Stegostoma tigrinum: one gene and its partner. The protein of the gene in region 1 interacts with the protein of each later gene in a biochemical or structural test. Links are inferred from orthologs where the notes say so. Each region holds a gene or a part of one and is shown on either strand. Other genes may lie near its edges.

The links.
Region 2: the proteins of myo5b (region 1) and rab11 family-interacting protein 2 form a complex in vitro, tested with the Homo sapiens proteins (2 studies listed by BioGRID). The link is inferred for Stegostoma tigrinum from reciprocal best matches to the Homo sapiens genes MYO5B and RAB11FIP2.

Annotation. Positions count from the first base shown.
Region 1 is NC_081354.1:158,440,354-158,457,050, reverse strand, and holds the start of myo5b (unconventional myosin-Vb), read right to left. Parts: upstream 7,762-16,697; 5' UTR 7,361-7,761; coding exon 7,334-7,360; intron 1-7,333. UniProt on the Homo sapiens protein: May be involved in vesicular trafficking via its association with the CART complex. The CART complex is necessary for efficient transferrin receptor recycling but not for EGFR degradation.
Region 2 is NC_081373.1:19,053,304-19,069,958, reverse strand, and holds the start of rab11 family-interacting protein 2, read right to left. Parts: upstream 7,983-16,655; 5' UTR 7,795-7,982; coding exon 7,442-7,794; intron 1-7,441. UniProt on the Homo sapiens protein: A Rab11 effector binding preferentially phosphatidylinositol 3,4,5-trisphosphate (PtdInsP3) and phosphatidic acid (PA) and acting in the regulation of the transport of vesicles from the endosomal recycling compartment (ERC) to the plasma membrane.

The DNA of each region.
Region 1 (16,697 bases):
AATGGCCCCTCAAGCCCACTCCACCATTCAACAAGATCACGGCAGACCTTACTGTGACACAATTCAATATTTTGATCTACCTTCAATAATCTAAGTCTCTAACTCGTCAAAAATTTAATCAACCTCTGCTTAAAAATATTCAATGACAATTGCACAACTACTCTCTGGGGAGAGCATTCCACAGACATCTTACATTGGAAAATCCTTACTTTGAAACTCTGTTCCTAAGTATGGTCTCCTTCCACAACATGGTTCATCCAAATAATTCCCCTTGGGATCAGGTGTTTCACAAAGATAACGTTTCAATAAGATAACATCTTACAATTCAGTGGATATGTTCAATATTTCCTCAAAGATAAACATGTAGCCAATCCTGGGAATCAGAGAAATCAATCTTTTTCAAAGTTGTTTCTAACAGTTATGTCTTTTCTTAAATAGAGACCAGAAAAAAAACTGTACGCAGTACTCCAGATGTCTCATCAGTGCCGAGCAATTTTTTTTAAATTGCATTTTCATATTCCATTGCCCTTGCAAGAAGTGACAACATTCAACTTGCCATGTTAATTGCTTGCTGAACTCATTTGTTATCGGTGTACCATACTGAATTGGAGCCTACAGTGCTCTCTGTGTTATGAGAATTTGAAATATTTAACAGTACTTGGAAGAAATTACACTTCATTTCAGAAACAAATGATCAATTCCTGTCTCAGTCCCAACTATGTCTTCTAGATCTAGATTTGACAGCCAGCGGAACAAACTTTCAACACCAAGAAATCTTCCCATTACAAAATGCTTCATTGAAAATACTTCTTGTTCTAAACTGCAGGCGAATATTGGCCAAATCCTACTCCTAAGATGCTGCTTGGCCTGCTGTGTTCATCCAGCTCTACACCTTGTTATCTCTACATAACCACTCTTCAGAGGACAAGGCCCTCGCACCAGGAATCAATCCAGTAAGATAAACATTAGGACTTATCACATGATCTGCATCTTGTAATCACCCTATCAAGATAAAAACCCATTCTTGTCACCCCCTTCCAAAACATACTTAAAAATGAAAGAAAAAAGTGAAAAGAAAATGGGGAAAGGAAAAACAGTTTATGGTCTATTATCACTTGCTGTTCAAAGCAAAATCCACAAGATGGATCTTTAATTCTCGAATATTCCAAAAGTGCAAGGAACATTAATATTCAGAAGAATAAATCTAATTAATGATGCTTTCAAGATCAAAACTACAGCTCACAGTTTTAAAAAAGTGGTATGGTGTAGCAGCCACTGAGTATCACTAGAACAAAATTGCCATATTTAATCTGCTTTCACAGAAATTATGTTGTTAATTTTATTTTGAAAAGCTGCTTGCATTCTATATTTTGTCTCATTAACAATATCATACATTTATTATATCTGCAAATCTTGTGTGTTACCCTTTATGTGGTAGTGACATTTATCACATCACAGAATTAAGTGCTTGTGTTTTATTGTATTTCATAGCACTTTTTAAAATGCAAGTTACTTGAAATAATAATTTAACTTTAACAAAAATGAAGCAAAAGTAACTACATGATTTTATCCTTGGAATTGTCAAACCTTTCAAAACAGTCTGAAATTGACTTCATAAAGATGGGTTTTCCATTGCTACGCTCCATACAAATGTAACAATGTTTTCTAATCTGAGTAAGAGAGAGAAGACTAAGCCATTTTGTAATATTTATTCCACAGGATGTGAGCACCACTGGCTAAGCCAGCATTGTTGTTCATCCCCAATTACCCTCATAAAAGGTGATGGTGGCAAGTTGCCTTTTTGAGCTGCTGCAGTCCTTGGGGACTGGGTCCCCCAGAATGCCATTAGGGCATGAGGTCTAGAATTTTGACCCATGAAGGAATAGAGGTATAGTTTTAGTTCGGGATATAGTGTGGTGCTGAAACAGAAACTTGCAGCTGATCATGTTCCCATGCACCTGTTGTCCTTGTCCATCCAGATGACGAAAAAGTTTGCAAGATGTCGCTGAAGATGGTAAAGGGGGCAGATGGTGAAAGTGGTGGATGGGCTGCCAATCAGGCAGGCTACTTGCCCTAGATGGCTGAACTTCTTGAGCATTGTTAGAGCTGCACTCATCCAGGAAAATGGAAAATATTCTAGCACATTCCTGACTTGTACGTTATAGGCAGGTCCTGGGAATTCATGAGGCAAAATTACCTGCCATGGAATTCTCAGTCTCTGGCCTGCTCATGAAACCACTATTTATTTGGAGGTCCATCTCAGTATTGGCTGTAAGTAACCCCCATGGTGTTACCTGTGGGGTTCAGTGATGAAAATGCTATTTAATAGCAAGGGTCAATGGTTAGATTATCACTTGTTGGACTGCATTACCTGGCACTTAACAAGTAGCAAATAACCAACGCATCACAAATCAACCCAAGCATTGTCCAGGTCTTACTTCATACGGATATGAACTGCTTCAGGAGCTGAGAATGAATATGGCAAAACAGTCCCACTTCTATACATATCCTCATTTACTCAGCCTTGCCATTATAGTTCTCAGCATTCTCTTTGGCAAAAGTTAGTGAACATAAAATCTTCAGTAGTTTGCTTTAATACCAGTATAATAACATGTTATTGGGAAAATGTTAGAATCTATTATGAAAATTGTAATACAGCATTTAGAATACATAATATGATCAAGTTGAGTCAGCATGGTTTCATGAAGGGGAAATCATGCCTGACAATTTTATTAGAATTCTTTGTGGGAGTAAAAAGCAGGGTAGATTAAAGAGGAAAAGTGGAGGTAATATGGTTGGATTTTCAACAGGCATTTGGTAAAAAAGGTGCCACAATAGTCGACTTAATCAGTCCTGAGTTCTGAAGAAAGAGTCCTGCCACCTTCCCTTACCCTTTGATCCCCTTACTAATCAAGTATTAACTTTGTCAATGTTTTTGGTGACATCACGTGGGGGTCAAAGTTAATACTTGATTAGTAAGGGGATCAAAGGGTAAGGGAAAGCTGCAGAAGAATGAGACTAAGAAACAGATCAGCCATGATTGAACAGCAGAGCAGATTCAATGGGCTGAATAGCCTAATTCAGCTCTTGTGACTTATGATCTTATAAAAAGATCTGTCCATAAATTTAAAGATGATGTCTCCTCAGTCACAAGTTTCTGTTTGGTTCTTTATTTGACACCCGAGGTGGCCAATTCTCACCTACAGATCTTTGCGATGAGGAACAGAATGTATAGAATGTTTTGTTTCTTTCTCTACTACTGTACTGCCTGATCAATAAAATGTGAGTCTAAGCATGGTACAACATGACAGACAGATTATAGCCATTTCAAATGAATGACAACAAGCTCCTCCCAATCAAAGTTAAATGTTTCCAAACTTCAGCGAGTCTTTCTAGCATGTTCTTTGCTCTTCCCAAGGCCAGCCATTTCAGAATGGCAAGAATAGGGCCAGACGGTGGAAAAAAAAGAATGCTTCACCATGCAGACAACATTCAGCCAATCAGTTGATTTCACAGGAGTTTTGCCTGAATGAAGGTCCTCCGATTAAATTCAGAGAAAGCAGTGGAGGCGTAGCTGGTGGAATTTCGCTAGCTCCTTACATATCATCGATGCAGAGTTTAGATATCACTTCAATTCAGGAGTGTGCTGACAACACTGGTCTGTACACTAGGCTTTTTGTTGACTTTCAGAGATCCCTATTGTCAGACACTCACTGCCTTTGTTTGTAGAAAGAGGAGCTCACCCAGAGAATCCGGTGCTGGATTTGCTCAAATATTCAGCACCTACCCCATTTAGAACAGTGGTAGTGTCATACCACACATTGCAGGCTATTTTCAATTTGAAGATGGGACCATCACTATAAAGGGTCACGACAAATGCTTCCATGGGAAAGGTACATCAGTTGATTTTTTCACTATCCCTTGTAGGTCCAGACTGGCAGACATGCTCTTCAGGACTCGGTCAGCAGTGCTATTAGTAAACCACTCTTGTTGGTTGGTATTGACATCCTCTATAAGCAGTACATTCTACATCTTTTCAAAGCAGGGTGCAACATAGAGGAAAGAGAGAGATAATGGGAACTGCAGATGCTGGGGGATCCGAGACAACAAATCGGGGAGCTGGATGAACACAGCAGGCCAAGCAGCATCTTCGGAGCACAAAAGCTGACATTTCGGGCCTAGGCCCTCCATCAGAAAAGGGGGATGGGGAGAGGGTTCTGAAATATATAGGGAGGCGGGCCAAAGATGGATAGAAGAGAGATAGGTGGAGAGGAGAGTACAGGTGGAGAGCTAATAGGTCAGTCCCAGGAGGGTGGACAGGTCAAGGTGGCGGGATGAGGTTAGTAGGTAGGCAAACCACCTAGAAACCAATGTCTATTTCAAGCCCACTGACTCCCACAGCTCCTAGAAAACACCTCCTCCCACCTGCAAAAATTCCATCTCCTATTCCCATTTTCTTTGCCAGCTGATTTGCAAAATGTGGGTTGAATTCCTGCACCAACTTTGGTTACTGTCAAGGACTCTCCTTTTCATTCTTTCTCATCACTTGAGTAGTGACCCTTAGGTTAAATTATCATTTGCCTCTTTCTAATGAGAGAATAGACCTATGGTCCAGTATGACTATGGCAACTTTATATCACTGTGCTGTCAACTCTGGTTAGTCTGTTCTGCTGTTAGCATAGAACCTAACCATGAATGGTAATGGAGACTTCTGGGAAACCAGCAGCATGGAACAGCCCCTGTATTAGCACAAATCTGCAGATGTTACTGAGAACCACTTTCCATGCTTAAATGGACAGGGTGTATCCATTGTTTTAGCTCAATGGCACGTAAACTGCCCCATTTTATTCTTGTCTGACTTTTCTATAAGTTTGTTGCAACAAATCACCAGTTAAGTCACTTCTGGGATAATTCAGGGATAAGCACATGTGAATTTAGGCTATTGCATAAAATACGGAGTCATGGGATTGAGGGTGATTGAACACTTTGGATCAAAAATTGCCTAGTTGGAAGACGACAGAGGGTGGTGGTTGATGGGAAATGTTCATCCTCGAGTTCTGTAACTAGTGGTGTCGCGCAAGGATTTGTTTTGGGGCCACTGCTGTTTGTCATTTTTATAAATGACCTGGATGAGGGTGCAGAAGGATGGGTTAGTAAATTTGCAGATGACACTAAAGTCAGTGGAGTTGTGGATAGTGTGGAAGGATGTTGCAGGTTACACAGGGATATAGATAAGCTGCAGAGATGGGCTTAGAGGTGGCAAATGGAATTTAATGCGGAAAAACCTGAGGTGATTCACTTTGGAAGGAGTAACAGGAATACAGAATACTGAGCTAATGGTAAGATCCTTGGTAGTGTGGATGAGCAGAGAAATCTCAGTGTCCATGTGCATAGATCCCTGAAAGTTGCCACCCAGGTTGATAGGGTTGTTAAGAAGGCATACGGTGTGTTAGGTTTTATTGGTAGAGGGATTGATTTTCCGAGCCATGAGGTCATGTTGCAGCTGTACAGAACTCTGGTGCTGCTGCACTTGGGAGTGTTGCATACAGTTCTGGTCACCGCATTATAGGAAGGATGTGGAAACATTGGAAAGGGTGCAGAGGAGATTTACCAGGATGTTTCCTGGTATGGAGGGAAGGTCTTATGAGGAAAGGCTGAGAGACTTGAGGCTATTTTCGTTAGAGAGAAGGTGGTTAAGAGGTGACCTAATTGAGACATACAAGATGATCAGAGGGTTAGATAGAGCGGACAATGAGAGCCTTTTTCCTCAGATGGAGGTGGCTAGCACGAGGGGACATAGCTTTAAATTGATGGGTGTTAGATCTCGGACAGATGTCAGAGGTAGGCTCTTTAATCAGAGAGTAGTAAGGGTGTGGAATGCCCTGCCTGCAACAGTAGTGGACTCGCCAACTTTAAGGGCATGTAAATGGTCATTGGATAAGCATATGGATAATAATGGAATAGTGCAGGTTAGATGGGCTTCAGTCTGGTTTCACAGGTCGGCGCAGCATCGAGGGCCAAAGGGCCTGTACTGTGTTGTAGTGTTCTATGTTGTAATCACATGTAGGTCAAACTAGGTGAAGTCACTAGAATTCCTGACACTTGGACATTAAAAAAAAGCCAAAGCATTACTAATGTGGTTATATTGTAATCAGCACAACTAATTATTTCATAAAATTCCAGATTTTAAGTAAAACTAATTTAAATTCCTCCTGGATCCTTTGTGCAATTTTATAGCAAATCTCCAAAGTCTTACTTGTCCAATAACATTTACCACAGCGCTCCCACTTCCCATCGAAAGAGATATCCCAATAACAGGGCAGTCAGACTCGGATGTTACTAGCAAGATAAAAGTTTTATTTTATAAAATAAAAGTATCCAGGCATTGTTTTTAGTGTCACCAATAAAAAGATTTTTGAGGAAACGAAACTGTTCCCTAATCGCGTAGAACTAAAGAAGAGACATTCTCACTGTGTCCAGATTTGTGTAGTATTCAGTCCATTGAATCAAATTTGCATTAAAGGTGCTTTCAGCGTTTTCAAAAATACGTTTTTTTAAAATTCAAGGAACGGCGGATACCGGTGATCTGGAGCAAACAAAAACACATATTGCTGGAGAAACTCAGGTCTGACAGCATCTAGAGAGAAAAAACCCGATAATGGGTCCCTGCGTTCGACAAGTCAAATCGTTTCTCCCCACAGATGCTGCAAACCTGCCGAGTTTCTCCAGCAATCTCTTTTTTTTAAAATTGAATTTCTCTCGTCTTTCCGGATCAAGAGACAAACAGCAAAACTTGAAACCGTGCAACTCAGAAGGTAGAACTGTATTTTTTAAAAAACTATTCAAACTTGTGCAGGTATTTTTATGCCTGTTCCCGATTTTGCTAAAGCCACAGACGATCCCAACCTCTCTCACACAACCTGCACCATTAAACACCTGCTCCGCACTACCCGCTTCGAGGAGATCGCATTAAATGTTTACCTTTGAAAAAGAAAACTAAACAAACAAGGATTGCTTGCCACAAATGAAAATTACTTCAAACTTTATCGCGCAACATTGACTTTAATCTCAACGGCAGCGGGAAATTAAATGTTTACTGGAGCTTCCGAATCAACACAGGAGAACGGAAGGAAGGTGGAGAAACTGATTTTTAAAATGAAACATTTAAAAGAAATGAGGATAGGACTGCGATAGTGGTTTTCCTCCTAATTAGTATTATCGTGGGGCTTGGTGCGCAGCGCGCTGTCGACTTTAACACTTTTTAATTTGGAATGAAAGTGGTATCCAGGAGATTGTAACCATTTTAAATGGCTACAATCTCCCCAACACTCACCTTGCTGTAAAGTTCCGAGGCTGACATGTCGATCTGTACTTTGTCTGCCTTCTTCCTCCTGCTGCTGAAGCAATGGGAAGATGGACGTGTGGCCACCCCCCAGCCGCTTTAGTTACCATCCACATTGGACATTAGCGAAGCGATGTCTCCATTAGTCGCCATTTTTCCTGCTTTTCTGCAGCGACCTTTCACTCAGGTGTAAAGTTGGTGTCAAGATCTCCGCCCCTAGGCTTTAAGCCGCTCCCCGACCTGGTGCTTTTATTTCTAATTCGGGGAAAGTGGGATTTATACTAACAGTAAGAATCACAAATGACTCCAACAGACGCGCCGTGCGCGCTTTGCAACGGGAGAGCGAAAACAAAACGAAAAATGCTTGCGTTTGTAGAAAGCTTCGCAAGGTGCTCTGATTTCCCGTGTCACTGAAACCAAGCTTTTCCCCCAGGAGGCTCTGGGAACGGGTGAGCCATCTGCTGGTGACTTCCGCGTTTTGAGATTCCGCGCCAGTGCCGGCTTGAGGACTGCGACAGTGTTTGCACCTGTCTCTTCCCCTGCGGTGGTGATCGCTGCTTCCCCAGCCTCTGTCCTCTTCCAAACCTAGCCCGGGCTCCTGTCTTCCCCTCACAAATGCCCTCTAGTTTCCAGCAATTGAAGAATTCTTCAAGTAATTTACCCTCCATCTAAAATAAAGACAGCAGGGCTTTAAAACAAAGCTTTTCTACCTCTACTTTGCACACTTTTATTTGTTAGATGTGCAAAGAGTAAGAGACTGGGGGAAAAGTCGTTCCCATTGTCAATGTAAAGTCTGGCTACCTGAGGGGCTTTGCGGTGAAGTGCTCAACCGAAAGGATGTCATGAAGTGATCAATAGCCTGAGTGTGTGAGCTGCCGCCCATATCTTTTCTATGTGGGTTCTTTTGGGACTGACATGGTCTAGTGTCTGTGAGGGTAGCTGTCGTCCGGTCTATTGAGAACAGTTCTGCAGAGTAAGCAAGATGCAGATTATTGCATCTCTGCAACCATTTGCAAATGATAACAAGAGGATCATTACTGCAAAGGCTGTTGAGAGGACTTCTCTTTAGGTCTGGTTCTCACAAGAGCCTCATGACATCACCGTAGCGAATGATGCTTATTGCGCTCAAGAGTTTATCCTTACAAACCCATACACAGCACTTCACCTACGACGTTTTCTTTCCGATAACTATTATTGTCACGTATTTGTTTATACAATTAGATTTACCACCTCTCCAACCCCTCCCCAATGTCAAGTACAAATTAGGACAATCTCGTGTTTCTCTATTCTCCTAGGATGTCTTCTTTTCAGACTTGGACGAGGTATAAATTGTGGTTAATGAAGATCTGAAACAAAAACAAGAAATTGCTGGAGAAGCTCAGCAGGTCTGGCAGCATCTGTGGGAGAGATGCAGCGATAATATGTCCAATGTACGGACAGTGTGGATTTTTAAAGGGGAAACTGTTTAACCAGCTTGTTGGAGTTTTTTGAAGAAGTGATGGACAGGCTTATGGCGTATTGATGGATTTCCAGAAGACATTTGATGCAGTGGCTCACATCAGACTTGTAGGCCATGTGTTATGAACCAGACCAAACCCCTTCAAGACATGTCAAGGATATAGCCCAGACCCTAACTTTTTTTGTTGTTTTAAAGACAAATGCCAGGTGTGTGTTGTGAATGCATTTCGATTGGTCAAATTATCAGGCTTAAAGCGAAACACACTTTATTCATGCACTATAGTTAAAATACAGTCAAAATAAAAGAAAAGAATTGGCTTAACTTTAACTCTATCAAGATAACTAACAAAATTAATAAGCTAGCCATTAACTGTTCCAATCCAGTAACATTCCATAATCACACCTTTGGCAAAGTTAAAGTCAGTAAAATAGATTGTCTCACAAGCAGCTCTATCAGCAGATCGAGAATGCCCAGCTTTTAGCTGTGACAGAGAGGGGAAAACAGTTTTACCCTAACCCTAACCTTATCACAGCTTCAAGACCTCAGCAACTGCTACTGAAAGTTGAAGTTAAAACCTTAGTGCTGTGAGTGCTTGATTTCACCCATTCAGGCTGCTTCTATTGTTCTAATTTTTAAAAAGCCCCAAGGCCTCCTGTTTATTGGTTTTGAACAGACTGCTGGACACCTCTGTCTCAAACTGTCCATTTAAAAAAAAGAACAGGATAACATAACCCTCTTAAAGTCAGAATATCATCATACTTGATTTAAAAGGAACAGTGGCAACATGGGTATGAAATTGGCTGAATGATAGAAAGCAGAGAACAATGATCAATGGATATTTTTCAGGCTGGAGGAAGGTTTGTAATGGAATTCCGGAGGAGTCAGTACTGAGACCCTTGATTTTTCTGCTTTAAATGATGCGGATCTTGGTGGACAGTGGGACAATTTCCACACATCCAGTTAACACTTAACTCAGAAGAATTGTTAGTTGAGAGGAGGACAGTGTGGAACTCCAAAAGGATGGCAATAAGTTGGTATAGTGGGCAACTGGGTGGCAGATGTGGTTCAATGCAGAAAAGTGGTGCACTTTGGTAGGATCTTTTCGTGGGGAGCAGAGATCGTTAGTCCCCAGCTTTGATCTGTATCAGTTTTCCTTGAACTCTTCAGGGTTACCAGCACATGGATTAGATTCATAGAATCCCTACAATGTGGAAGCAGACCATTCAGCCCATCAAGTCCAAGCTGGCCCTCCGAAGACCATCCCACCCAGACCAACACCCCAACCCTATTCCTGTAACCCTGTTTTTCTCATAGCTAACCCCACTAGCCTGCACACCCCTGGACACTACAGGCAATTTAGCTTGGCTAGTCCACCTAACCTGCACATCTTTGGACTGTGGGAGGAAACTGGAGCACCCAGAGGAAAGCCACACAGACACGGGGAGAATTTGCAAACTCCACACAAACAGTTGCCTGAGGGTGGGATCAAACCCGGGTCCCTGATGCTGTGAGGCAGTAATGCTAGCCACTGAGCCACTATTCTTGTGTGGTATGCAATGTCATTTGTATGATGAAGTCCACATTCTGGTATAATGAGTACAGTCTTGCAGAGTAAATTAAATATCTCTTATTGCATCTCTGAAACTGTTTACAGGTTATAAGAATATGAGTCAGGGTCATTTGGTTGAAGCACATTCAGAGGGTTTGCCACAAAAGCTTTTGCCACTGGTACATGGTGAAGGTAGAACATGGGGCCTTACAGCAGTATATCCACCCCCCTTGACTCTTCATCGCTGGCAAATATGACTGACTGCCTGGCATTGTGTCTGAACAAAAAGCAGGTGAAATAAAGTTCTGCAAGCCTATACATTCGGAACAAGGTGGCAATGCAGGAAAGCACAAGGCAAGGCAGAGATGCTTTAAGCATCCAATCAAGCACAAAGAGAGTGAGCACTGCAAGGGTAAGATAACAGCTCTGACTCAATGCACCCCATACAAATGAATAAGGAGGGTCTATCTCTGTACACAAAGCAATCTGGCAGCACCATTTCAATAGAAAGATCAGCACTCTGAAGTACAGTATGAAATGGTGAGCTGTATATTAAGTGAGTCGGAGATGTGCCATGATGGTGTGAGACCAAGGCTTGGTTGTGCCAGCCTCTGTGGACAAAGAGTACAGAAAGTCACTACTTGTGGAGTGTACCCTGAGGTGTTGGGGGGAATGTTGGCTAAGATAGAAGCTCAGAGAAGACACTAACAAGCCTCTGCCACAGGTAACCATTCAGACTTTCATTTCAAGTCCAGTTTCTCTCCACTGCCTAGAAAGATAGTAACTCAGACAAAAATAAGGTGAAATTAGGTGATGATGCAATTTTTTAAATATCTATTCATCATGGCATATGGGCATCGCTTGCTGGGCCAGCATTTCTTACCCATCTATAGTTGATCTTGAGAGGATAGTGGTGAGTTCCCCTCTTGAACTGCTGTTGTCCATGTGCTGCTGCTAATGTGTGCAGATAGGTGCCAATCCACTCACTAGCAAGATTCCCATCTAGTCATCCCATCGACACTTCATCAGAACTGAAGAGAGATGGAAATCGAGGTGGATGGTAGATGAGGCAAGTGGAATTAAGATTCACAGAAGTTAATGGGCAAGGGAGAACTTTCATGACACTGGTCAGTTTCCACAGGAAGCTGATCATCTGGTTTGCATTCTAACTCCTGCTTTTGTTGGATCCTTTTCACCAATTCTGGCCAATTTGTCCTTTCTTTTCATCAATTCTGGCTAATTTATCCATTGTTAGTGATTGGGGACATTAGGACTAGTTGTCATGATTGGACGTTCCTGATCTCTGTATCTGCCAATGCAATGCACTTAACTGATTGAGCCTTTAGAAGTCTCTCAGACCAATGGCAATGTATGAACAGACAAATACTGATCGAAAGCCTAGTGTATGAGAAATACCACATCCATTTTAAATATCACTGAATGATGAATGGCAACATTTTTCTTTGTTAAATCCGACATTTATACAGCACCATTCAGCACCTCAGGATAACACATGCCACTTCACAGCCAATGAAGTATTTTTGAAGCATAATTGCTGTTGTATACAGGATGCATGGCAGCTAATAAGTAGACAGCAAGCACCCAGCAAAGAAATAACTAGTTTGATTATCTGTTTTACCAGTGGCAGTTGAGGGCTAAATATTAACTAGATGTGCTGTTTTCTTGAGTTTTTAGCACGATGATGGTTTTTGACAGTGCGTTAACAAAAAGTGTGTTTAAATGTATGTGTAAGTCAGCATAACTAAGCATGACCTACATTAAAGGTGGTCTAATGTTGCTTTAATTTTGAACCCCAAAATCTGTTGTTTGACTTAAATACCTTAATATAAAGTTCTGGCTCAGTGAAATACCTCTTTTGTTCTGAAACAGGCAGTATTGTTTTGAGCAAATTATTATTTGTGTTTCATATAGTAAAGTGAACATTTGCACTCCTAATGAGAGTTGTATGGACTTAGGTCTGACAGAGATCCAAAACCATACAATACTGTACAAAGTGTTAGGGCAAAGGGCGAGGTTGGTAGGTGTATGGAATGCTGGATGACGAGAGAAATTGAGGTTTTAGTCAAGAATAAGAAGGAAGCATATGTCAGGTTAAGACAGCAGAGATGGAATGAATCCCTAGGAAAGTATGAAGGCAGTGGGCGTATGATTAAGAGGGAAATCGGGAGGGCAGTAAGGGTCATGAGATAGCTTTGGCAAATAGGGTTGAAGAGAATCCAAAGGGATTCTACAAATGCTTTATGAACAAAAGGGTAACAAGGGAGAGAATAGGGCCCCTTAAAGATCAACAAGGCTAACTATGTGTGAAATCAGGAGATGGGGGACAGATGAAATGAGTATTTTGCAAAAACGAGTGTTTTTGGTGGAAAAGAATATGGAAGATAGTGAAAGTGGGTGATTAAATAGCAACATCTTGAAAAATGTCCAAATTACAGAGGAGCAGGTGCTGGATATCTTAAAATGTATAAAGGTGGATAAATCCCCAAGACCCTAGAACACAGTGGGAAAATAGAAAAAAGTTTGCTGGGCCCTTTGCTGAGATATTTTTTATCAGCGACAGCTGCAGGGGAGGTGCTGGAAGATTGGAGGTTGGCTAACATGATGCCATTATTTAAGAAAGGTGCTAAGGTAAAGCCAGGGAACTATAGACCAATGAGCCTAACATCAGCAGTGGGCAAGTTGTTGAAGAGAATTCTGAGGGACAGGATTTACATGGATTTGGAAAGGCAAGAACTGATTAGGGAGTCAACATGGCTTTGTGGGTGGGAAGTTGTGTCTCACAAGCTTGATTGAGTTTTTTGAAGAAGTAACAAAGACGATTGGTGAGGGCAGAATGATGGACATGATCTATATGGACTTCAGTAAGGCATACAACATGGTTCCTCACGGCAGACTGGTTAGCAAAGTAAGATCACATGGAGTAGAGGGAGAACAGATTTTGGATACAGAGCTGCTTCGAAGGTAGAAGACAGAGAATGGGGATGGAGGGTTGCTTTTCAGACTGGAGGCCCGTGACCAACAGCATGCCACAACGATCGGTGCTGGGTTCACTGCTTTTCATCATTTATATAAATGAAATTGATGTGAACATAGGAGGTATGGTTAGTGAGTTTGTAGATGACACCAAAATTGGACATGTAGTGGTCAGTGAAGAAGGTTATCTCAGAGCACAAAGAAATCTTGATCAGAAGGGCCAATGAGCCAAGGAGTGGCAGATGGAGTTAAATTTAGATAAATGTGAGGTGTTGCATTTTGATTAGGCAAATCAGGGCAGGACTTATACGCGTAACGGTAGGGCCCTGGAGAGTGTTGCTAAACAAAGAGGCTTTGGACCACAGGTTCATAGTCCGCTGAAAGTGGAGTCACAGGTAGATAGGACAGTGAAGAAGGCATTTGATATGCTTGCCTTTATTGGTCAGTGTATTGAGCATAGGAGTTGGGTGGTTGTGTGGCAGCTCTACAGGACATTGGTAAGGCCACTTTTGGAAAACTGCTTGGATTTCAGGCCTCCCTGCTACAGGAAGGATGTTGTAAAACTTGAAAGGGTTCAGAAAAGATTTACAAAGATGTTGCCCGGGTTGAAGGGTTTGAGCTATAAGGACAGGCTGAATAGACTGGGGCTGCTTTCCCTGGAGTGTTGGAGGCTGAGGGGTAACCTTTTAGAGGTTTATAAAATCATGACGGACACAGATAAGGTGAATAGCCAAGGTCTTTTCCCCAGGGTGGGGGAGTCCAAAACAGGGCATACATTTAAGGGACCAAAGGGGCAAATTTTCCCACTGAGGGTGGTGCACGTAGAATGAGCTGCCAGAGAAAGTGGTGGAGGCTGGTATAGTTGCAACATTTAAAGGGGATCTGGATGGGCATATGAATAGGAAGGGTTTAGAGGGATAAGTGCCAAATGCCAGCAAGTGGGACTAGACTTATGGAAGTTATCTGGTTGGCCATGGATGAGTTGGACCAAAGGGTCTATTTCCATGCTGTACAGTTCTAAGACTCTATGACCTGGGAATTTTTACCTTCCTGGGCTTTACCCCGATGGACCTTAACGGTCACTCACCTGAATATATTGGAAATCACTAATTGACCAGTGGACAGGAATGAGATCTTGGGCAGTAGGTGACCACTACCAGAGAATCAAAGGAATGGATTTTGGCATTCGGGTAAGTGCTGTGAGTGGGAATGTATATCTGGGATAGGGCTACAATAAAGCTAACTGTGATATCTGAAGGAACATACTTTCTATACCTTCCCTTGCCAACAAATCAAACTACATTTCTTGGACTCTTCTGGCCCCAGTTTAGTTTGGCAGGGAAGCCACATTAGTCTCCTCATAGAGATCTTCAATGATGATTACTATAAAGTCCTGTTCACATTCTCAGTGTTTGATCTTCATATTTGAGAAGAATTAAAGCATCATACTTGTGTGACAGATAGAGAAGGCAAAAATTACAAGCCGCAGCATGGCAACAGAATTGGAAGGATATGTCATTGTAGCCATTGCTTACCTTGTCTGCCAAATGTGTTAAAATCACCCAGCAGAGTCTGATTTCTAAAGTAACTTGCTTGTTTTGGCTCCCAGAGGAGGTACATTAAAATAATTAATTTTATAATCATAGTCATATCATTTGTATAATTAGTATCTAATTAATTTTTAGCTACAACAAAGCTAAATGTCAAAACTCAAACTCACTCATGTATTGCTGATTCCTTTTACTCTGTTTGTTTACACAGGGACGTAGCAAAAGCTAGCATTCATAAGCCGCTTTTGCATTTCAATCAATTTAGAAAGGCCGAGTGTTCCTCAGTTCTGAGGAGGGGCCACTGGACCTGAAACGTTAACTCTGATTTTTTTCTTCACAGATGCTGCCAGACCTGCTGAGCTTTTCCAGCAACTTCTGTTTTTGTTCCTGATTTGCACATTTACGGTTCTTTCAATTTTTAAAAAGGCTGAGAGTCTATTCGGCTGATTGACTGTACACTGAGATTAATGAATAGCATTTTGTTGGGGTTATTTTATGTCTTCAAGACACTGTCCTCCACTTGAATCCAGTATGATACAAGTACAGGGTAGGCTTGGCTTCTTGTCTTATCCTAATACTCAGGAACAGTTGGCACTGCACCCTCAACTGCACTGTGTGCACAGTATTGATTAATCAGATCTGAGGCCATATTAAGAAATAACTCTCCTTTATGTAAAGTAAAAGTCAGACCTGAATGTTGTTGTTGTGTTATGTTAGAAGATGTTTACTTCAACACAACTTAGCTTGAGTTTGAGTTGCCTCTGGGCATTTTGTGCGTCGTTTTCTTTTGTTCAGTCAATTCATTAGTATAGATGTGTTAAATTATTGTCCATGTAATATGAATATAAATATGTGCTTATTTAAGAAACATGGGCATTGGAAATTCTTAGAGTACAACACAAATATAGTCATATTTTTGTTTATTCATTGAAGAAGTGTCGGTAGATAGGCAGCAGAACTTCAGCAAATAAAAAGAAAATGATTTAGGACTTTATTCAGTTTACCTTTTCAAGGAATATGGATGTCAATGACAGGGCCAGCAGTTATTGCCCATCCCTAGTTGCACTGGAATAAAGTGGCTTGCTGGGCCCTTTGAAAGAATAGTGAAAAGATTGTTGTGAATCTGGAGTCACATATGGGCCAGACCAGGTAAAGAAGACAGTTTTCACTCCATATAGGGCAATCATGCCCCAGGTAAGTGTTTACAAAGTTGTTGATAGTTGTCATGGTGACCAGCACTGAAACTAGGTTTCCATCCAGATTTTATTAACTGAATTTCAATTCCACCAGCTGCCCTGATTGGATTCAAAATTTGTCCCCAAAGTATAATGTAAAGACCTTGCCTTTGTATTTTTCCGACATTTTTGATGGTGGTGTGAAATCAGAAAAAGCCAGAGCTTTCAATGATTGCCGCATGACTTCAAAGGATGTAACAAGAAACATAGACATAGAAACATAGAAAATAGGTGCAGGAGCCGGCCATTCAGTCCTTAAAACCTGCACTAACATTCATGGCTCATCACATAATGTCGTGGTCCCATTCCCACCCTCTCCTCATACCCATTGATCGCTTTGTCCACAAAGGTATTGTCCAGCTCCCTCTTGAATATATCTAATGAACTGGCCCCAGCAGCTTTCTTTGGGAGAGAATTCCACAGGGAATTCCACAACTCTCTGAGAAAATAAATTCTTCCTTATCTCAGTCCTGAATGGCTTACCTCCTATTCTTAGACTGTGACACTTTGGTTTGGACTTCCCCAACATCAGGAACATCCTTCCCACATGTACCCTGTCCAGTCCAAT
Region 2 (16,655 bases), on another chromosome or scaffold:
ATGGCCTGTGTACAGAATTATACTTAAATGTTTCGCAAATGAAATCCTGGATCACCTCCACAAAAGCCAGTGTTTCTGCAATTGAAATACTTCTAACAATTCTGTTTCATGTTTTAGCACTCCCTAGCTCAAAGGGCAACGTTTCCCATTTTTATACCATAATAAGTACTATGGAATTAGATGCATCTGAAGACCCATTATAAGATTTCTAACTGAAAGGTCACTAAAAATGACTAGTTTCATGCTGTATGGTCATCCACAGATAGGGATTTCCGTACACATTTCTCCAGATTTTTTTGTTTAAAAGCTGAAAAATTACAACTGAAAATTAGAATATGGTGGATGCTGGAAATTTGACATTGAAAACAATATACAGCTACAAACTCTGCTGATTAGAGTGCAAGGGCAGGGAGAGACAAATTTAACATTTCAGATCTGTGACCTTTCAAAGCTGAGAGAGCTTAGACAGCTAATATGTTTTGATCATGGGGTAGAGTGGGCAAGGACAAAGGGAAGGTCTGTGATGGAGTGAAATAATAAGTCAGGAGAGATTCGATGACATAATGTTAATCTATTAGGGTATGCAGATAGGTAAGCAATGAAACAAAAGAAACAAAAAAAAAGTGCCTAGTGCAGGTGTGCTAACTGCAAGGTAAGAACTGTAGCAAGGAAAAGAAACAAAATGGAGATCCTTATAATCATTCAATTCAGTGCTCAGTCCAGAATGCTGTAAAGTCTAATCAAAGTTTTTAGGTATTGTCCTGAATCTTACAGATAGGGTCAGAGGAACAGGGCTATAAATCAGAGGACAGAAATGTCAGTACGAGCCCAAAGGTAGAGAATTAAAATGACAAGCTAACAGAAGCTCAGGGTCAAGCTTGCAGGTGTTCTGCAATATACCACATAAAATCAATGTACATCATGAAGATGCAGAAAAGTCCTCTTTTATTGATACAAATAAAAGATCAAGAGGCCCACTTTTTATTGAACACACTCAGAGAATAGGATCTAACCAAAAATACCTCTCCCTGGAAGCATCATTCAAGCCAGTAACCTCTGCTTAGTTCCCACCGTTTTCTTTCTATATCATTGAATCCCTAGCATGAAAACAGGCCCTTTGGTCCAACAAGTCCATAACAAGGTAGGACCTTGCAGCATTCTACCCAGACCCATCGCCCTATAACCCACACTCGCCTGAACACTACAGGCAATTTAGCATGGCCAATCCAGCTAACCTGCATGTCTTTGGACTGTGAGAGGAAACCAGCGGAAATTCATGCAGACAAGGGGAGAAAGTGCAAATTCCACACAGGCAGTCACTCTAAGCTGGAATTGAACCTGGGAGCCTGGCACTGTGAGGCTGCAATGTTAACCACTGTGCCACTGCCTTTTTATCTGGGATAAGAAGCACTTCTCTGAAAACGGTCATCCTACAGAATTCAAATTTTTTGATCAACATTTTCATGAATATGACACCAAAAGGTCTATTTTTTAAAAATTACTCTTTCACCTGTCTAAGAATCCACCTTGACATATCTAACACCATTTTAGCCTCAAGAGTTCCATAAAGGCTAGTTGCCCCTTGTGATACCCCAGAGTAAATTACTAATTCTCTCCAATTCACCAGTTTTATAAGCAGCTACCAGAACTTCATTGCGGCATCAATTGCAGTACATGCCGGTCATTCAAAATGGCAGATTGACCCAACTGCACAAGAGACCTCTGAAGTCAACTGAATCCTGTTTCTTCAATAATAGTTAAACAGTTCTCAGAACTTTGGTTTCTGGAACTCTTATTCAGATTATGTTGCATTCTAAAAGAAAAAAAATTGAATTCAGTGGAATGTCTGAAATCACGGTTTTCATTACTAGTTCCGATACAACTTACATACCAGATCTCAATGGGTATAATGTTGAATCCTGCTCAAAACACTGACCCCATATCCTCATTTTGGACAAATTGCTCCCTCAGCAACAATGTGCAAACATTGATTGTAAAACAACAATTCATGTGGCACGCAATCGGACAGGTACACTTCTGCAATAACAAGGTGTACAGCTATATGAACTTAGCAGACCAAGCAGCATCAGAGGAGCAGGAAAGCTGATGTTTCTGGCCTAGACCTTTCTTAATGAAGAAGGGTCGAGGCCTGAAACGTCAGCTTTCCTGCTCGGCCTGCTATGTTCATCCAGCTCTACACCTTGTTATCTCAGATTCTTCTGCATCTGCAGTTCCTACTATCTCAAATACACTTCTGCATTGGGAGTTTGAAACACTGCAACTCCAACTTGTGCACCGTATACCATCCTTGAGATTGCAAAGGCCACAGAACAGAGACAAACTTCAGTATCATGAGAATGTTTACTTCTAGTTCTGTTTGGAGGTTGTTCCTTGATTTTCATTTAATTGTGCAATTTAGACAAGCAGTGGCCTTTACTCATTCATTTGTCTATCAGAAGTACTCCTGAGAGGTCACCCCCTTGCACTATTTTTCTCTGCTGTTATCATTGTGTGACTCAGGAATTACTTCTAGACTCACTTGCATTGTGCTTTTGTATTTGCCACACTTTCACCCCAAACTGCCAGCACAAATGAGCAGAAAAGATTTGTAGTGCCTTCTGAACTGGAAAATTAAATCAACTAACAGAAGGCAAATTGACATCTCGCCTACAGACCAATTGATACAGACTGTTTCAACCACCTTGATTGAAATATTTGTATGAATCATCTGCCTTTGTTACTGGCAACTTACAGTCTGGTTGGCTAAATTTTTCTGCAATATTTCAGTAGTTACTAATTTCCTTTCGCAGTCCATCACTAAAAAGGAGTCTTAGCTACAGTATTCAAAACCATCACATCTAAGACTGAGCTCATCATGGGCAAATTTCCCACCATCAGTTAGACTCTTAATCAGGGCACCAAGGTCAGTGTGTATTTCTTAATGAGTATGTCTATGATTACCTGTGTTCTTAAAAATTATTATAGAAAGAGAAAATCTGGTCAAGTCTACAAAATATAGAATAGAAAAAGTTCCATCTTTGTCTCATGACTTTATATCCTTAGCAGCTACCTCATTAAAGTCACAAGCCTATGTCAGGCTTATAATGGGATATGGCAATGTCCTCAATTGAACAAATAAAATTAATACTGACAACAAATCTCTCGTTATATTGGTATTGGGTTATACTTTACAGTCTTCTGGAAACTATGCAAAATTCAACAATTTCAGATTCCAATCTCTGTACTGATTGCTTCTATTTCTAGCTCTTGACTGCATTTGGGCAGCAGCACACCTGTTCTGCGAAAATACTTGTTTCCTTTTTCTGCCCCATCACTACTCCATTTCATCGAAGAATGGCAGCGCAGAAAGACGCAACTTGGCTCATTATGCCTGCACTACCTCTATAAAACTAATACCAATCTACTGCCATTTCCCCCATCTTTGCATTTTATTTGGAATCAAATAATCATCCAATGCCATCTTGAATGCCTTAATCAAATCTTCCACAACTACATTTCCAGATACTGCATTCCTTACCCCGAGTACTCACTGAAAGTAAATGTTTTTTCTGACATCATCCTTGCTTCTTTTGCACATCATTTTAAATCTATATTCTCAATTTTTTCTTTTACAAGCAGGAACAGCTTCACTCTACCTACTCTTTTTAGCCTTCCTTTTATTTTGAAAACCTCTACCAAATCTCTAAATTAAATTTTCAAACCTAATACATTTCTCAGTTTTATAAGCTGGAAAAGTTGTCAAAACGTAGATTATTTCACTCCCTGCTGCTTTCAAACATGTCCTACAGATTCAGTGTCCATAGGTTTTGCTCTTGCATCTTCCAATGGTGCCTATCTTACGTACAAAACCATTATACTGCATGATACATTCCTTTCTAAATCAACCTTACATTTTATGCTCTAAACTTCACATTCTGCTAACCTCTTGTATTTTGCATTATTACTTGTTAACTCATAACTTACCTGCATTGGCTTCTGGTCCTGCATTTCTTTAATTTCAAATACTTATCGTTACTGTAAACTTTGAGTCCTCACACTTCACCATAACTCAAGGCCTGAAGGCCTCAGAACTCCTTGTTCTTTCAACTCCGACTTTTTATGAATTCATTCCTTTACATCGCCACTTACAGATGCTCCTTCACCTATCTACATACTTGGGTCTGGAACTCCCTCCCTGAACTTCCTTTAATCAGTCCTCTTTAAAATCCACCTAAGTGTTTCACATCTTTCCCAACATCATCTTTGGTTTGATATCTCAATCTCCCCAGTCAGAAATCTTGGGACAATTTTTCTACATTAAAAGGCACTTTGCAAGTCTGTATCATTGAATGCAAAATTCTTCCACCTGAGCCATTTTATTGTGTACCAACTACAGCATACGCCTCAGAAACTTTTTAACTTCAACAGTTTCTTCCAGTTTATTGGCTTCTACTGCTACAAAGGATAACAGCAAAATCAAAAGGAATAACAGCACTAGCAGCTGTCCCTCTGAATTACATATCATACTAACATCTGTTTACAAGGACTGGCTAAATACTTGGTACTTCTCTCATCTAACACAACCATGGGAGCACTGAAAGTCAACAATCATTCATTGATAGGCCATTTCAATCTTCTTAAAGAATTAAATGATGGATCAAAAATTCCACCCTTAAAATATTGATAATACTTACACATTAAGAAAACCTTTGCTTGGAATGATCAAAACAATGAAAACTTACCAACACCGTTTATACAATAGGAAATTAGATTATTCTCAGAGATAATAAGTGTTCTTTGCAGTTCATTTCTCTTCTTTCATTTAGGGTGCATGTACTTGTATTCAAATACCTGGGTGCAAAGGATTTACACTTGGGAAGGGAGAAAATACTCATACGAAGGGAAAAATATTCAAAACAAAAACTGTTGCATATGAATGCATTTCAAATCTTAGAAGAGATATTTAGTTGACCAGATCTCCTTTGGCATTAATCACATTGACAGAAAATGAGGGTTATGGAAATTATTTCAGCAGTAATTTTTACTGGCATTTAATCATGATTTTCTAGTCCTTGCACCTGTCTCAGGGTCTCAGTATTTTGAGGGGGGCCCAAGGTAAGGATCTTCACCGATGATTACATAATGTCCAACATCGCAGGCAGCTCATCATATACTGAAGCAGTACATGCTCAAATGTAACAAAATCTGGACAATATCCAGGCTCGGATAACAATTGGCAGGTAATATTTACACTACACAAATGCCAGATAACAGCCATCACCAGTAAAAAGACAATTTATCCAACACCCCGAGACATCCAATAGCATTAACATCACAGAATCCCCATAATCAACATCCAGGGGGTTACTATTGATTAGAAACTCAACTGGAATCACTATATAAATACAGTGATTACAAGAGCAGGTCATAGGCTAGGAATACTGTTGTGAGTAACTAACTTCATTACTCCCCATATCGTGTACACTATGTACAAGACACAAGTTAAGAGTACGGTAGAATACTTCCACTTGCCTTGATGAGTGCATCTCCAACATTACCCAAGAAGCTTGACACCATCCAGGAAAAAGCAGTCCATTTGATAAGCACATCAACAACCATCTACTCCCTCCACCATCAATGCTCAGTAGCAGCAGCATGTAGTATATGATGCACAGCAGAAATTCACCAAAAACTCCTAGGAAGTACCTTCCAAAACCACAATCTATTCCATCTAGAAGGACAAGGACAGCAGATGCACGGGGAACTCCATTGCCTACAAGTTGCCCTACAAGCCACTCACTATCTTAACTTGGAAATACATTGTTGTTCACTTACTGTTACTGGGTCAAAATCCTGGAATTCCCTTTGTAAGGCTATTGCAGGCCTACTGACAGCACATGGATTGTAGCGGTTCAAGAAAGCAGTTCACCACCATCTCAAAGGTAATTAGGTACAGGCAATAAACGCTCCTAGCTGGCAACATCCATGTTCTGTGAGTGAATACAAAAAGAATCCTCAAAGGATCAGAAATGGACGGGAGGGATAAATGGAAAGGAACCTGAATGCCTTTGATTCTTGTTGAAGTAAGCTTCAAAACCCCTTCCTTCAAATGTATTCCTTCTCCACCCAGTCAGCCTTCTCCCTGATCATATCCATGTTGCATCTTTAATAAAAAAAGAATTCCAGACCATTTTCCTTCATTATCAGTTATTTCCAGTCTTCATGCAACCGTTTTAAATATTTGATCAAACAAATACATGGACAAGACCATGAAATTCAGGAGTACTGAAACGTATTCTAGTTTAAAATGAGTGAATTTGCCCATTTGTGCAAGAAACTAAACTTGCGTAACTGAAACAAATCACTTTATAAATCTGAAGCTTCAAATTAAGAGATTTAACTGTTTTTAAATCATTATACCAGTGAGTAACTGAAACAAACATCCTGTCTGGCTAAATTGTTTCCATGTTCTTCTCTGCCAAGAAATAAAACCCACACTTGTTCTAATTACAGATGTTGCCTGGGTGTTTCAAGCATTAAGGCAACTGACAGGCTTTCCAGAAATTTAAAAGTCAAGAATTCTCTCTCCAATTCTTTCCAAAATCTTCTGAATAAAAGACAGAAACTCTTGAATTCTGAGTTCAACCTGAGTGTGGAGCAAATGAGTGTAAGAAAGTCTCATTCCATGGAAGCAAGTCCTCTCTGGTTTCATATGAAGTCAAGACTCTAGATTTGGACTGCCTTTACTTCATTAATTCTTCATTGCATTGTCACATAAACACACCGATTTTGATTTTGGTTAGCATATTTCATTAATGTTTTGGAATGAAAAAAATATTAACCGTTTTGAAGCATTAAAAAGGATAAGCTTTGCTGATGCTGAAAGTATAAATGAATACAGAGCAGTGTAACTTGGATATGGAAAGAGTAGTGCATTGATATTTCACCAAAATAGACAACACGTCTATATTTTAATAGTCAAAAACATACACACTGTTCCATAGTTGCATACTCGTGTGGTTGTATTCTTTGTCCTTTTACCTTATGCGGATTGCACAATAGGACAGCAACGTTTTTTTAAAAACGAGAAATGAGCAGCTGGTGCTTTTATGCAATCCCAATCACACAAAAATTCCCCAAGTATACTGACAACATCAGAATTGTTTTCAACCTGCTGCCAGTCTTTTGTTTGGGCAGGAGGTGGGGGTGGAGGGGTGGGGGGGTGTTGTGGAGGTGGTGTTGGAGGTTGAGTCGGTTCAACTTAGAGCATTTACACCTCATACACAAGTCAAACACATTATGGACAAACTACGGATGCATACTGAATTATTGTAAATGCAACATCATGAAGATTAAACGTGAACAACTGAAGCCCTAGATGTCTTCTAACTCAATGGCAGATTTATACAACCCAACACACTACAAAAGGGGAAACACTTACTCCTTTTGCCTCCTCGATTTGTTTTCAAAAAGTTCATTGAGGCAGATGGCTACCTGACCTAGGAATTTATCCAGCCCGACTAGGGAACGGTGCATGACAATCAGGTGGAGGATGTATTTCTCTGGAGTCCCCTGCAGCAGTAGACCAGGAAACTCGAAGGACACCTCCTCTTTCCATATCGGGCACAAGGTTTTCTCCGCCACCGAGGTCGAATATTTCTCCTTGCCCAGCTGGATGATGGTGTACGTGTCGTTGGTGCCGGTTTTGCTTTTGGGGTTGAGATCCCGGGCTTGCAAGACTGTCACTTGGACATGGGTAGGAAACCATGTCTGCGACTGCTCCGACAGCATCATCTACCTATTTCTTTTCGTTTTGTTTGCTTCGCTCGGTTATCTCATTGAAAGCACGCTTAGTCGGCGAATATTTAAACTCAAAGGCGCCCCGACCGCGCCGCCTTCACACTCCCTCACTGCTGCCGGGACATAAAAGGCCGAAATGTGATGAGAAAGGCCGATCCCGCTTCACCTCCCATCCTCGCCGCCTCCTGGTTGCGGGGGGGGGGGGGAAGGGTCAGAGGTGAGAGTTGAAACTCTTCCCCCGTCTCCCATAGCAACGCACTCGGCTTCGGTAACCCAGCGGGCATTTGCCCCGGGGTGTCAACTACAAGGCCAGTATCTCCAAACCGATCTTCGAGGTAAGCAATGTATTTACAGTTTTATTTTTGAAAAAAATATATATACACACACCTAAATAAACCTGATGTGCAGAGAGATGTCTGTGTAACTGGAATGAAGACGGACGTTATTTTTTTGTCATCGAATAAACCTCAAAGGTGACAAGAAGGATTGAAAATCCCATTTAAACAGTTGCGTTTTGCTTTCTCTTTTTTCTGGATGTTGGCACACGTGAACAGAGGATTTATAGTTTCCTTTAAACGTGCGGATGCCCCTTAACCCAGCGTGCAACCACCACCCCCACCCCACCCCCCAATCCTGCAGCTCTCGGGATAACCAACACAGCTTTTCCAGCAACTTTGTAGTTTTTTTTTATTCCTGATTCACAGCATCCGCAGTTCTGTCGGTTTTACTCGGGATAACCAAATTTGGTGAATTCCTTGCCTTTTCCGCAGGAGACATTGGCAACATTACCCGGCAAGCAAGATTAACTTCAAGCAGCTAACAGAATTGTATTTTCTTAAATTGGCAATCCAAATTTGAGAGTTTTAGATTTTCCCAGTGGAAGTTAGGGGATAAAAAAACTTCAAAAGAAGATTACATTTTCTTTAACAGCCCCTGGTTCCATTTAGGTAGTGACAATGATGTGGAGATGCCAGTGTTGGACGAGGGTGGACGACATCAGAAGTCATACAACGCCAGCTTATAAACCAACAGGTTTATTTAAAATTACAAGCTTTCAGAGTTGTACTCCTTTGTCAGGTGAACTGTTGATTATTGTTGTATCATACTTTTTGTCATGAAATTTCATGGTATATTGGTATTATTTGGAAATAGGTTGAAAAGTGGACTGAACATTTCATAGGTTTAAAATTGTTATGTTTAAATAAAAATCAAAGTGTAGAGCTGGATGAACACAGCAGGCCAAGCAGCATCTTAGGAGCACAAAAGCTGACGTTTCGGGCCCAGACCCATTTCTGATGAAGGGTCTAGCACCGAAATGTCAGTCTTTGTGCTCCTGAGATGCAGCTTGGCCTGCTGTGTTCATCCAGCTCTACACTTTGTTATCTCGGATTCTCCAGCATTTGCAGTTCCCATTATCTCCTGATACAACTTTATTTCTACATTATGTTTTTAGCACGATTTCAACCCAAGGCTCCACCTGGACCACTTTGAAAGTTTCTTTTTAAATGTTCCCTGCTGTCGGAAGGATGTTATGAAACTTGAAAGGTTTCAGAAAAGATTTGCGAGAATGTTGCCAAGGTTGGAGGGTTTGAGCTGTGGGAAGAGGCTGAATAGGTTGGGGCTATTTTTCATTATGCATCAGAGGCTGAGGCGTGATCTTATTGAGGTTTATAAAATCAGAAGGGACATGGATAGGTTAAATAGGCAAGGCCTTTTCTCTGGGGTAGGAGTCCAAAACTAGAAGACATAGGTTTACGGTGGAAAGGAAAAGATTGGAAGGAATCTAAGGGGGAATGTTTTCAAACAGAGGGTGGTGTGTGTATGGAATGAGCAGTTAGAGGAAGTGATGGAGGCTTGTACAGTTACAACATTTAAAAGGCATCTGGATGGGTACATGAAAAGGAAGGGTTTAAAGGGGTAGGGGCCAAATGCTGGCAGATGGGACCAGGTTTATTTGGGAAATTTGGTTGGCATGGACAAGTTGGACCAAAGGGTCTGTTTCTGTGCTGTACATCTCTATGACTCTGAGGAACTGTTGGAAATTCACTCTGTACACCCCACCTGCACCCTAAAATCCAAGTCAAGAGTTCCCCAAGCTGTAGATTGCATGCTGCCTGTCCTTCAAGGCACCAATGATGATTGTGGCAATGAGATTTGCCTGGTTGAAAGGCTGTTGGGAAAACCCTGATCCTACTGGATCATTGCTGTTAAAAAGCAAAGTTAGGCAATGAGTCCAAAGTACTCTTTAACCTCAGTGTCCAGTGGCCTCAGGATACTTGTGTGCTAACTAATTGCAGACAAAGTAAGGTGAAATTCAGTGAAAGTTTGTTTGACAAGCCCAGGATGAGGGAAGAATAAGTAAGCTGGGGTTCTGAGGAAGGGCCACTTGACCCGAAACGTTAACTCTGATTTCTTTCCGTGGATGCTTTCAGACTTGCTGAGCTTTTCCAGCAATTTTTTTCCCAGTTTTTATTTGGTTTAGCATATTGTTTGTGACTAATCATTAGATATATGATGTGGCTTTTAATGTTTTCTGCTGGAGTGATGTTGCTGATCACTTTTTATTGGCTCATGTTAAGATTCAAAGGAAAAAAAAAGGTTCAAGGTGGCTGTTACCTTGGCTGCTTTCAGCAGCGCTTTCCCTCTCCTTCATACTCTTCTCCTTCATGTTGCATCCCACCTCTTCCCACCCAGCATGCTCACTGCAACATCTGGCAACACCCTGTCACTTGCTGGTGTGTCGAAAAGGCTCAGTTTTAATTCTGAGTAGGTGAGTGGACTTTCAATGAATTAAAATTCTGCCCATATTCTCAGCTATGAAATTCAGTCAATTCCTATCAGCTCAATATATTTGGGTATTTATGCAAACATACTTGTCCTGCAGCGATGCCCAACTTTATGCTCTGTCCTTTGCTTCTTCCTCCAAGTGGCATGCAAAGCTCCTACTTGGTACTACTCCTCCTTATTCTTTTTTTCACTCCTGATAACTGGGCAATGTTGGCTGGGCAAGCATTTGTTGCCCACCGCTAGTTGTCCTTGGAAAGGTGATGGTGAACTATTTTCTTGAACCACTGCAATCCATTTGGTGCACCATCAATGATAATAGGGAGGGAGTTCGATTTCGGATGTGACGAGTGCTGCACTAGCTGTTGCTAAAAAAACTCCCACTAAACATTGCATTTTCAGCGCCACACTGTTTTAAACTGGTATACAAAGCTGAGAATTTCCTCAAATCCTGCTATTTGCCTTGAGGATGAAAATCCAAGCTTATATAATAGTTTCCTGCTCCTGCACTCTCCTTCAACTTTACACTGAATAACAAATCCAGCCAGGTTACAAATTCCTCTTTGGATTATTATGCTGTAGTTCCTATAATGTGTTTCACACGCTTCAATAAGCCCTGATATGCCTTTTAACCTGAAAGGCATAATATAGATGTGAGTCAAGACTTTTTTCCTTTGAACTGTTGCTAAACACTGACAATAAACAAACATAGTGAAATGTGTGATCTCTCCCACCCCTATTTTTTTTTCAGACCTCATCTGAGAGCCAAAGTGAAGTCACTCAACCATAACATGCAATCATCAGTGATAAGTATTCCTGGAAATCAAAGTAATTTCTGATTTGGGGTCAAGCACTTAATGCTTGAATGATGGTGCCAACCTGTCCTTTACAAAAACTCAAAACAATCTATCAGACACTGAATGAATATTAAAATGCAGTGAAATCAAACACATTTAAAGAACATCAGAAAGGATTTAATCAAATTTCTATGGTACTGAGAAATCTGAGATAACATGTAGATATAGGCTGAATAAAAAGGTAAATAATAGCTAAAAGAAACAGGCAAAAGTCTGTAAAGAACCAGGACATGAGGAACATGATTCAGCTTGAATGTAAACAGTACCTAAGGATTACTAAAATAGAAATCTGGAAAGTAAAAAAGAAATTAGAAAGGAAAATTGCAGTGGTTTATCAAGGGGAATAAGAAGTTTTTCAGTTATGTTCACAGAAGGCAGAGGATTAGAGAACACTTTGGGCCTCTAAAGGATAAGACTAGCAGATTAGTTGTGGAGGATCAGGGCATGGATGCATTTTTAAATGTGTTCTTCAGTTTGGTTTTCGCAAGAGAGGATTCCTGATCCCGTAAATAAGATGACTGAGAGAGCTGGGAGTGTTTAGTGAAGATAGATATTATTTGAGGAATTGTTATTAAGGACCTGAAGGCCTGACTGCATACATGTGGGAATTCTTGAGCAAGCACAAGAAGAAACAGCAGACGCTTTGGCAGAATGTTTTTTAGCTGCAGGAGAGCAGGTATAACACCAAAGAAGATGGTGATGTGGTTCTTACTGTTGAGATTTACACAATAATATTATTTTTGCTGAATGCTAGTATGAATTTAGGAGGCATCACTAAGTTAAGAGTAGTGGAGATGTAGTTGATGTAATACATAACCTAGGTGACCAACATGTATTCAATAGATTTATTGGGAAATGAGTTACAAAAGCAACACTTTTAGGATTTAAAAGAAAAGCAATGGACAAAATATTAAGGAACTTTTTATTTAAGAAACAGGATAATGGAGTGATTACCTGGCTGAAGAGAAATAATCTTTGAGGCAGTGGTATTTAGGCAACTGCTTGGAAATGTGCTAACTGGGAGACAGTCTAACTGGGAGATATTCATGGAAAGCCATATATTGACGGTACTTGCAAGGTTCAGGTCAGACTAATGACATGAGAATTTGAAGAAAAACTGGGATCTAAGATGTGATTAGATTCATCTATGGTCAGAAAGGCAGTTTCGAAGATTCTCTTGACATTGTTAGTGACAAATATGTGGGAATGTAGAACAATTGAAATATTAAAATTTCATTTCTGTCCAATTCAAAATGAAGTAGGTAACAAATGTAGTGGGATTAATCGAGAAATTAACTACACATATTATGGCTATAGAGTTTGTTATTTCTCACTAATGCCTGTCTAATAAAAATTGAACTACCTCCTGTCGAAAGCAGGGCCTGCCATGTTTTACTGGCATTGCAAGGAGGTTTCAGGCACTATTATGATCCATGCAGACATATTTTTGTGGGGTGGAAGCAGTGAATTTGAAAACATTGTCATAAGAGAACTGAAAACAGAATTCAAAATTTGAAGTAACAAGGTGTAGAGCTGGATGAATACAGCAGGCCAACCAGCATCAGAGGAGCAGGAAGGCTAACTTTTCGGACCTAGACCCTTCTGAAATGGGGGAGAGGAAGGGGATTCTGAAATCAGTAGGGAGAAAGGGGGAGGCGGATAGAAGATAGAGGAGAAAATAGGTGGAGAGGAGACGGAAAAGTCAAGGAGGCAGAGTTGGAGTCAGTAAAGGTGAGTATCGGTGGGGAGTCAGGGAGGGGATAGGTTGGTCCAGGGAGGACGGACATGTCACGGAGGCGGGATGAGGCTAATAGGTAGGAGGTGGTGGTTGGGGCTTGAGGTGGGAGGAGTGGATAGGTGGGAGGACAGTTTAGGGTGGCGGGTACGAGCTGGGCTGGTTTTGGGATGCAGTGGGGGAGGGGAGATGTTGAAGCTTGTGAAGACTACTTTGGTACCATTGGGCTGCAGGGTTCCCAAGCGAAATAAAAGATGCTGTTCCTGCAACCTTCGAGTGGCATCGTTGTGGCACTGCAGGAGGCCCAGGATGTCATTCAAGGAGTGGGAGGCAGAATTGAAATGATTCATGACTGGGAGGTGCAGTTGTTTGTTGTGAATCAATTGTAGGTGTTCTGCAAAACAATCCCCAAGCCTCCGTTTGGTTTCCCTGATGTAGAGGAGGCCGTATTTGGAATAGCGGATGCAGTATACCACATTAGCAGATGTGCAGGTGAACATTTATTTGATGTGGAAAGTCTTCTAAAGGCCTGGGATGGGGGTGAGGGTTGAGGTGTAGGGGCAGATGTAGCACTTCCTGTGGTTGCACGGAAAATTGCCGGGGCTGGTGGGGAGTGTGGAGTGGACAAGGGAGTCACGGAGAGAGTGGTCCCTCCGGAAAGCAGATAAAGATGGGGAGGTAAAAATATCTTTGGTAGTGGGGTCGGATTGCAGATGGCGGAAGTGTCGGAGGATGATGCGTTGGATCCGGAGGTTGGTGGGTTGGTACGTGAGGATGATGATGCCACATCTACCACCACCCGGTATGCCACTTCCGGTACAGCAAACGCCATCGACACCGCTGCTGATGCTGCAGCCTCCATTTTCGAGGCCAACACCACAGACATCAAGGGCGACGCTACTGCCGCCACCAACACCCAAGATTTACTGGCCTCCAATGCTCCGCCCACCACTGATTACGCCCCACCCACAGGCAACTGCTGATGCCACTCCACCCATTGCCAGCAACTCCAGAGGAGACAGCAGCATCCAGCCCTGCTGGATCTTCACCATTCTCCCAGAGCTCCCCCTCACGGAGGGCGAACAGTCAGTCCTCAATGAAGGGCTCACCTTTGTTCCCCTCCACCCAAACAGCAATGAATACAATTCACGCTTGGACATTGAACAGTTTTTCCACCGCCTCCATATCGGCGCTTACTTCTTTAATCGTGAGTCTAATGCTCCCTCTACTGACCCCTTCTCCCGCCTCCAACACAACACCTCCTCCAAGACACCACCCCCAAGTCCTCCTACCCTCCCTTGACATCTTCATCTCCAACTGCTGTCACAACATTGATCGCCTCAACCTCTCCACCCCACTCAGCCACTCCAACCTCTCCCGCACAGAACATGTAGCCTTCCGCTCCCTCCACTCCAAACCCGACCTCACCATAAAACCCGCGGACAAGGGAGGCACAATTGTGGTATGGCACACTGACCTCTACATCGCCAAGGCCAGGCACCAACTCTCCGACACCACCTCCTACTGCCTCCTTGATCGTGACCTCACCCTGTCCACCAAAACATTATCTCCCAAACCATCCACAACTTCATCACCTCAGGTGACCTCCCACCCACAGCCTCCAACCTCATCGTTCCCCAACCTCGCAGTACCCGCTTCTATCTCCTTCCCAAATTCCACAAATCTGACTGTCCTGGTCGACTCATTGTCTCCATTTGCTCCTGCCCCACCGAACTCATCTCCACTTATCTTGACTCCGTTTTCTCCCCCTTGATCCAGGAACTCCCCACCTACACCCATGATAGCGCCCACACCCTCCATCTCCTCCAAAACTTCCGATTCCCTGGTCCCCAACACCTCATCTTTACCATGGACATCCAGTCCCTATACACTTGCCTTCCCCATGCAGATGGCCTGAAGGCCGTCCACTTCTTCCTGCCCCGCAGGCCTGACCTGTCCCCTTCCACCGACACAATCATCTGCTTAGCTGAACTCGTCCTCACCTTTAACAACTCTTCCTTCAACTCCTCCCACTTTCTCCAGAAAAAGGGGGTGGCCATGGGTACCCACATAGGCCCAAGCTATGCCTGCTTTTTTGTAGGAGACGTAGAACAGTCCCTCTTCCGAAGCTACACTGGCCCTATCCGTGACCTCTTCCTCTGTTACATTGATGACTGTATTGGTGCCACCTTGAGCTCAAACAGTTCATCCACTTCATGAACACCTTGCACCCCAACCTTAAGTTCACCTGGACCATCTCCGATACCTCTGTCTCCCACCTGGACCTCTTTATTTCCATCTCTGGCAACCACCTAGAAACCGATATCCATTTCAAGCCCACCGACTCCCGCAGCTAACTGAGTACACCCCCTCTCACCCGCCTTCCTGCAAAAAGGCCATCCCCTATTTCCAATTCCTTCGCCTCCGCCGCATGTGCTCCTGACATGAGGCATTCCACTCCCGGACATCCCAGATGTCCTTGTTTTTCAAGGACTGAAACTTCCCCTCCAGAGTGGTTGGAAACACCCTTGACTGTGTCTCTTGCATTTCCCGCAGCGCATGCCTCATAATCTCTCCCTGTAATAACAACCAAAACAGAATCCCCCTCATCTGCACATACCACCCCACCAACCTCTAGATCCAACGCATTGTCCTCCGACACTTCCACCATCTGCAATCCGACCCCATCACCAAAGACATTTTTCCCTCCCCACCCTTACCTGCTTTCTGGAGGGAGCACTCTCTCCTTAACTCCCTTGTCCGCTCCACGCTCCCCTCCAGCCCCACCACCCCCGGAACTTTTCCCTGCCACCGCAGGAAGTGCTACACCTGCCCCTAGTGGGTGCTATCACGGATGTATGTGGGGAGGTCCTGGATCAAGGGGAGAAAACGGAGTCAAGATAAGTGGAGATGAGTTCGGTGGGGCAGGAGCAAGTGGAGACAATGAATTGACCAGGGCAGTCAGGTTTGTGGATTACCCTCTCACCCCCATCCCAGGCCGTAAGAAGACTTTCCACATCAAACAGATATTCACCCGCACATCTGCTAATGTGGTATATCGTGTCCGCTGTTCCCATTGTAGTGTCCTCTACATCGGGGAAACCAAATGGAGGCTTGGGGACTGCTTTGTGGAACACCTACAATTGGTTCGCAACAAACAACTGCACTTCCCAGTCATGAACCATTTCAACTCTGCCTCCCACTCATTGAATTACATGTCCATCCTGGGCCTCCTGCAGTGCCACAACGATGCCACCCAAAGGTTGCAGGAACAGCATCTCATATTTCGCTTGGGTACCCTGCAGCCCATTAGTATCAATGTGGACTTCACAAGCTTCAAAATCTCCCCTCCCCCTACCGCATCCCAAAACCAGCCCAGCTCGTGCCCACCTCCCTAACCTGTCCTTCCTCACACCTATCCACTCCTCCCACCTCAAGCCCTACTCCTACCTCCTAGCCCCATTCCTCCTCCTTGACCT